2 linked regions of the Kluyveromyces lactis genome follow. The protein of the gene in region 1 purifies or fractionates together with the protein of each later gene. This does not show direct contact. Links are inferred from orthologs where the notes say so. Each region holds a gene or a part of one and is shown on either strand. Other genes may lie near its edges. The genes, in order: RSC58 and RSC9.

Region 1 (3,897 bases):
CTAGGTGCACTCGACAGTAATGAAAGAATCACTGATGATGGTAAAGCAATGAGTTTGTTTCCGCTAAGTCCAAGATTTTCTAAAATGCTGCTTGTTGGTAATGAAAGCGACTGTTTGAAATATGTTGTTACCATTGTCAGTGCCCTTTCAGTAGGTGAGCCGTTTTTATCTGAACAAGAGCTTGGTATCATGGATACTGTGCCCAAGACACAAGATGAAGGACAATTAGATGACTATCCTGATCACGAAGCTGAGGAAAGAAAAAGGCTATTGCGCTCCAAGTATGTTAAAAGCAAAATTAGATTTAGTAAGCTTGATAAATTCAGTGATGTTTTCCGTCTTTTAAGTGCAGTATCTGCGTTGGATTTCATTCCAAAGGATCAGCACAGTTCTTTCATGGAAAAAAATTTCTTAAGGGCAAAAACCGTAGAGGAGATTATGAAGTTGAGAAAGCAGGTGATGTTCATCATCAGGTCAGTTACTTCGAGAGAAAATGTAGCTGTAAATGTTAAAGACGAAGACTTGAAGAGCTCGATCCCCACCGATGTTCAAATCAAATTACTCAAGCAAATGATCACAGCAGGATTTATCGACCAGGTGGCCGTTCGCGCAGACCAGTTATTCCCGGAAGACGTTACTATCAACAAAACCAACATTTTCAATATCCCTTATGTTCCAGTCCTTGCTGAGAAAACATCTTCTTTGGATGATATCTTTGTTTATATTCATCCAACCTCAATTCTCAACAATTCTGGCGAGCAACCTCCGAAATACTTGGTTTTCCAATCACTACATGTCAATAAAAATAATGAAAAGGCGAAAACAAGGATGAAGTCTCTTTGTGACATTAAAAGCACGCCATTGGCTAACGTTGCAAGAAAGGGCTCGTTACTCACTTACGGAAAACCAATCACTGGACAAGGTTTGAAACCTATTGATTTATCGCCAACAGAAAGATTCTGCTATGTTGTTCCTAGATTTGGATCTTGCAATGATAGCGACATCAAGATTGGTTGGGAACTCAATCCTATCCCTGTTCATCAAGAGAAAGAGAAAGGTGTATGGACGGTCAAGAAATTCCTTACTCCAAAAGCATTTAAAAACTATCAAGCTTCGAAAAGACCCTAGAACTACACCAGTACAATTTATAGAATTAATTAACTCATATAATACCAATTGCATTGGAATAATTAAAGGCCAATACCTAGCTTGTTAGGCTATGACTGGGTACTGTTGCTGTGACAGGAATCTCTGTAAAAGCTGTCAATGGATGCCAGTTGGATCATGATGTACGGTTTTGATGTTTTTCATAATGAAAACACAGGTTTTGGCGCAGGTTGATCAATAAAGGCTTCTTACATTACTGCTGAATGACAAACTGATGGGCAGTGAGAGAGTACAAGGTCTGCAAACTCTTTTATAGTGGGCTAAAAATAAGTAAACAATGGTAGAGCTGCTAAAAGAGAATTTTTTTCAGAACTTACTAACTGTTTTAAAAGGGTATGTGAATATAAAAACAACACATTTTTCATTCGAATTATGTTGCATTCGCACATGTTTTTGTCTAGAATCGGTGATAATAATAAATTAAAGACCAGCATACGATGACCTGGGGTTCCTCAAGTCTTTATTTTATGTTTTCAGTGTTAGATTTGCCAAAGCATGATTTTATTTTACAATCAAATACTAACAGTATTAATTTTATTTTGATTTAATTAGTGCATCTTCGAAATGCAGAGCTTTAGATGAAAGGTTTCCTAAAGAATTCTACGAGCCTGATCCAACACACATATACGATTCTTACGTGAAGTTTCTAAGGGCCAAGTTTGATGAAAATCCAGATATCAAAATAGCAGAAGATATTGATTCAATTTCCATATCTGATAAATTTGCTAGTGGAGATTACCAGAAGCATGAAGATTCTGTTTATCGGATTTACCATGATATTAAATTAGTATGCTCCATTTTAATTCACTACTACTCTCAAGGAACGAGGTCGTACCAAATGGTCGACAAATTCTACAAATTTGCAGCAGAATTGATTCTAAGGGAATGTTATAGAGTTGGAGCCAAACTGGTGGGAGACTTCGCGGCAGACATTGACTTCAAAGAAAGTGATTTTTCAAAAACCATTTCCAATGATTTCCTTAAAATTAGTCAAGTTTATCAGCTCCCCGTTACTGAAACTTACCATACGCAGACAAAGGAGGGACATTTGTTCAGTTCGGTGATAACGAGGTCAGTACTTGATCAGAGGCCAAAGGAAGTACCATACGAGGAATGTGAAATTGTGAAAATTATTCCTCAAGCAACATCCCAACCAGCCAATAGATTGGGATTCGTAGCAGCTAACACTTCCAATGTTCCTGATCCAACAATTTCTCCTACAGAAATCATGACCTCCTTTCTGCATCCGAATTGGTACCCGCTACCCACTACTAAATGGTTGGAGTATGGCGACTATCAATCTTTTGCTCCGAGTATCTCGGAGTTCAAGTCTGTAACAGATTGTTCCCGTAAAGGAGACATATGGTTGGAAAAGGTCGGATACAAAAGCTGGTTAGAAATAGAATCGAAGAAGAGAGGGGCTGCGGAAGCAGAAGATAAAAATGTTGAAGATGAAAAAATAAAGGATGAGGGTATTGAAGATCAAAAGGTTGAGGAAGCAAATGACAGTATCGGATCTGACAACCAAAAAAAGGAATCAAATGAAAATGATGAAGAGCAGAATGTTGCCACGGATGAAGAGCAAGATACAAATGAGGAGGGAGATGAAGTAATAGTGACAACGGAGCCAGCTGGACCTGTCAATATTAATTTGAAAAATCTTTATGACTGGCAACCTAGCCATGAGATACATGATGAAGATATAACGGCTTTTGAGCAAGGTGAACAGCAAAGGTTATTGACAGAGATATTGCTAAAGCTAAAGGCATGTAAATCGAGAAGGGTCAAGCTGAACAAGATATCAAAACCAACAAGTGAGGAAGTTTCCCTTTATCATAGAGCACAGAACATCTTGAAAGAAGCTCTACTTTCTAAACAGATTGTGACATCTCCAAAATTGCACGAGAAACATTTCCCAGTCCTTCAGACTAATTATGCCGGATCAGTTCCTGTCGTCAAGACCATATCGACTAGAAAAAAGAAAAGTAAGAAAGTTATGCAGTGAAGTAGATATTTCCGTATAGAATCTATAAATCGCAGCTGTGGTAGTGTGCAATAATCTGTGGGGCTAGTTTATTATCAGTGATAGCTAACGGTTACTATTATTTGGAGTTATTTTCTGAAACCATCAGTGTTTCGATTTTTTTACTTCCTCAATTACTTTCGAAGGTAAATGTCCAAGAACAATTAAAGATTATATAAAGAACAAAGAAATTAACCACAACAAAGGTACAAGAGAAGAGATCAACAAAGCAGATCCAATAAGTACAATTTACGAATTGATTATAGATTAAACAGAATCCATCAAAACTATATAAAATGCCTACTTAGACTTAAAAATGCACGTCCGCTCCCATGAGGTATGAAAATACAAGATAACAATTCAATGAACCAATTGTCAACCATATAACAAATGAACTGATGCTCAACAGTCTTCCATTGGTGTAGTCAATGGACTTAACGCCTTTCGATAATAATCTACTTTCTTCAGTACTGTCTGCAGATGCGGGTGCAGAATCCACATCCACAACGGTCATAATTTTATGATTCATAGTGAAGTAAATCAAAGGAGCAGAAACGATTGGTAAAATCAATGAGAGAACCACTTGACTCAAGTTTAGAATACTAGATACCCCCTTTTCTCCCAAGAAAGCCGTAACTAAGAAACAGGGTACGATGGCTATCAACCTTGTCAATAGACGAGTCACCCAAGGTTCAAGTGACCACTCT
Region 2 (4,006 bases), on another chromosome or scaffold:
ATCCCTTTCATCCGGCCAGACTTTCCACCACGGTTTTGGTTGCGCATGCTCAGACCATTTCTGACTAGCGTAAGCCTTCAATTCTTCAAGTGAAGTGTCTGCATCCTTTTTAGCAGAGTCACCAGTGTCCTTCAAATATTGAATAATGTCTTGACTAGACCAATTTTCAAATAGATTGTTGCAAATAACTACTTGGCAAGCAGCTGCACAAAATATCAAAGCACTACTAAGCTTCATCCTGCGTATTAATATTGTTATTCTGTGTAATAAGCTATGTCAATAAATCTTATTAATAACAGACACTTTAAATGATATCCTATACAAATATACCTAAGCCTAAAAATGCCAGTTGTTAAGCAAGAGAAAGTGTTCCACGTTTGTTGATATATATATATATATATATATATATATAGAATGGGAATTGCCAGAACAAACTTCTAGTTGACAGTGACAATGCATCACACTAAGTTGTAAAAATCGATGGCCACACTTAGTTCCAAATAATAGCTCTACACACTTATAATAAGGGGTAGGGTGACATGGATATACTCACGCATGGTCTAGCCAAGCTCACAATAGCGTCAGTTATGATGTTCGCTAACCCGTTACCTTTTTCCCTTATTTTTTGGATTCTAAAGACGTCTTTTTGCTAATGTTAAAGAAATGACTTTTGCGGTTTGCTAATGGCAGCAAGAAACGATGCAAAAGGACGACTGTGTCTTAAAATTGCAGATGGCAATGCCACCATTTGTATTGTGCCTTAAGGTAAAAATTCTTCCGGACGCCGTGATGTGTGGAATTTGCTTTGATGTATGTATGAGTAAGTAATCAGATCAGATCACTGAGAGTGATAACTCTGGGGGAGTTAGGGTCTAGGAAACTAATTAGGTAATTAGAATGTGTTTGAATCAGGGCAGAAATGGAAAAGAAGGAAGAGAATCAATGGGTCGTTTGAGTCGATTTGATGTTGAGATTACACTGAATCATCGGTTGATGATCCGTTCCTTAGCGTGGAATTACCACTTTTCGGTCACATGATCAACGTCAATTGCCAGGGAGGTGAATTTAAACTCGTTGTTCCCATAACCATTTGAAAAGGACTTAGGCTGTCACAGAGGGGATAGTCAGTGTTCATAAAGAGGATAAACCTAACTGTCAGAACTATGATTAGAATCACTAAGCAACAGCATATAGTCTTTAATCTGTCCTTGTTACTATGTACGGAGAGCATTTATGTAATCATTTACCCGGATATAAGCCGTATTATTGAACTCGAAATTCAACAACATGCAAAACAACGAAAGATTCGAGATGGACTTCTTAATATGTACAATGACAGAAAAGGAAAACGCGACTAATTAGATGGAGCTTACTTTCTTTGTACCTATATCGGCGATCTAGATACCTTAAACACACCTTCTTTCGGAGACTCGCTTTTTTCTAGTTTTGTGTGATACCTAGTGCTTCACAAATCAATAGATGTCCAGCCATTCAGTCACTCCGGTGATCAATGCTGAAGGAGAAACAGCGATTCCAAGCTTGAAGACATTGCCCGCAACACAATTAAATATTAGCAGAGACCAGACCAATGGTATTACCGCTAAGCCTGTTGCTGGGTTGCAACAATCATTAGGCAGTTTGCCTATCTTCAATCATTTGCCTGTAAACTCTAAGATTGGTGTTGATGATCTCACCCGTATGAAGATGGCATTGTTAAGTGGAATAGACGAAGAAGTTAAATTTGCATTGAAAAGATATTTACGGTATAGCATTAACGCTTCTTATGTTATCAAATTGAATGAGAATTTGGATTTGTTGCCCATTATTATGCCCTTGATTACAGCATGCAGAGAATACATTCCACAGCTTGTTGGCCCAATTTCCAATCAGGCTTTTGAAGCCCTACAAAAAGGTTCAATTACAATGCTTCTTTTGAGAAATTTGGCACAGGACTCGGAAAACACTTCGATATTAGCCACCGATATGGAATTGAAATCGTTCATATTGTTCGTGTTGGAGTGGGCAAATACGTTCAATTCGAAGGATTCGGCAATCTATCAGTCACATACATCCAGTTTCAACGAATTGTTAATCTATACTCTTGATTTAATGGAGGCGATTTCATCTTATATTGCACCAGCAAAAAAAGACGATCTATATTTCCAAAACCTCTGTTTGATATTTCGTGATACAAAGGATAGATACTGCGTGATCTCAATTTTGAGATCATTATCTAGACTCTTGGTGAGATCTAAATCGGACCAAAAGAGTGCAGCAGATAATTTGGATGATAGTTTGTTGAACAAGATTGTTCATAACCTTTTAATTGATAGGGATGAAGAGTTAATAATTGCTTCATTAGATTTCCTTTATCAATATATATTACCTGGTCATCAGAGAATAAAGACATTACTATCACATAAGGAAAGATATGATATCCTAGTTAGTACTCTCCCTGTTCTCCTCACGTATCATGTATCAACCCCTGATTATCATGCCCTTTCGAATACTAATATCAAACTTATACAGAGGGTAAAACCTCAACCACCAGCACACGCGCCTGAATTGCCAATGCCACTGCTCAAGGAATTATTTGAGCTAAACGAACCAATGCGTGCCACTTCCTGGTTGAGATGCTGCTTTGAGAGATCTCTGAATGGCGAAGTAACACAGATTCTTCTATGGAAAACTTATGAACAAACATTCAGCGAACAAGTAAAACTAACAGATCGAAAATTGATAACTGCCGTTGATTTCATTAAAAATGTTTCGAATGCTTTGCCCGGTGCATCCGCTTTGGTAGTTGTAGATGAAGCAACGTCGAAGAAAAAATTTGTAATAAGAGGTATACAGCCTCGCAGAAAAGCTCTTTCAATCGTAGAGGCAAATAAAGATATTGACCAGTCCTCGCCTATACAGACTGAAACCCCGGATGAATTTGAAAGCAACAATACTCCATCGGAAGCAGTTCAAATTTGTTTGCCAGATATTGTTTTCCCCGAGAATCTTTCTGATGTATCTAAAGCAAGTGCGTCATTCCTTTCACTTGTTTCTAACGATAGTACCGAGATCGTGGCACAATTTATTCATGATATGAAACCTTTGATATTACATCAAATTGCTGACGTGCCACCTTTAAATACTGTTCTTTTGGACTTCATACATTCAGGTTGAACTTACCGTTAGGCCGATAGAGTAATTAAAGTTGTAGTTTTGTAATAATTAAATGTATAACGTATCGATTAAAGGTAAAAATTAAACAACGGGAGACCTAACTAATGTATAAAATTGAATTAAAAATGGTGAAACAAAATAAAAAATAGATGATAGCAATTCTGACAATATCAGAATTTTGTATCGAATGGATCAGCGTAAACCCATTTTTGTCATAATAATCGTAAAACTCATCAAATAATAAATAAATAAAACTTTCTTCATGAGACAGATTGTTCATGGAAAGTATGATAGAAGTATAGTAAGAATAAGGTAACATCAGCAGAAAGTTGTTTAGTGCATGGAAGAATCTATAATATCTTTGAAACTCTCCACTTTAGAATGATGATCAGATAAGCCTTCAGATTTGTAAATGGCAGAAATGGAATCTAAAAGTACCATTAGCGAGGTCTTGCTAACGTTAAAAGAACCATTATCATTGAAGTTTATAACCTTTACAGCGTTGTTCAAACATACTGATTCGACGATGTTGTTGAACAAATTGTCAACCAAAATTGGGTTAATTTTTTGCCATATATTGAGCAACTGCAACATTTGGTCTTCGGTGAAAGTTATTGTTTTAAGATAACCCCTGAATCTCATGTAGTTTTCGAGTTTGGAGTAATAGTTCTCTATAATAGAAGTATCATTTAAATCAAGAAATTGCATAGAATCTTCAATATTGTTGAGAATTTGTTGGGTAATTTCCATCTTAATGCCAAAGTTCAACTTCAAGTCTTGTGAAAATTCCTTTCCTTTGGTCATGCTTTCGTAACAGTGAATCATATTGTGG

What was found.
Region 2: the proteins of RSC58 (region 1) and RSC9 purify together in Saccharomyces cerevisiae (affinity purification with mass spectrometry, with the first as the bait; 5 studies listed by BioGRID). This does not show direct contact. The link is inferred for Kluyveromyces lactis from reciprocal best matches to the Saccharomyces cerevisiae genes RSC58 and RSC9.

What each region holds. Positions count from the first base shown.
Region 1 is NC_006042.1:1,593,312-1,597,208, reverse strand, and holds RSC58 (Rsc58p), read left to right. Parts: upstream 1-1,444; coding exon 1,445-1,500; intron 1,501-1,719; coding exon 1,720-3,172; downstream 3,173-3,897. Other genes in the region: ATP-dependent RNA helicase ECM16, read left to right, coding at 1-1,128; putative divalent metal ion transporter SMF3, read right to left, coding at 3,501-3,897. UniProt on the Saccharomyces cerevisiae protein: Component of the chromatin structure-remodeling complex (RSC), which is involved in transcription regulation and nucleosome positioning. RSC is responsible for the transfer of a histone octamer from a nucleosome core particle to naked DNA.
Region 2 is NC_006040.1:880,670-884,675, forward strand, and holds RSC9 (Rsc9p), read left to right. Parts: upstream 1-1,479; coding exon 1,480-3,174; downstream 3,175-4,006. Other genes in the region: double-strand break repair enhancer MSC1, read right to left, coding at 1-237; RPM2 (ribonuclease P), read right to left, coding at 3,508-4,006.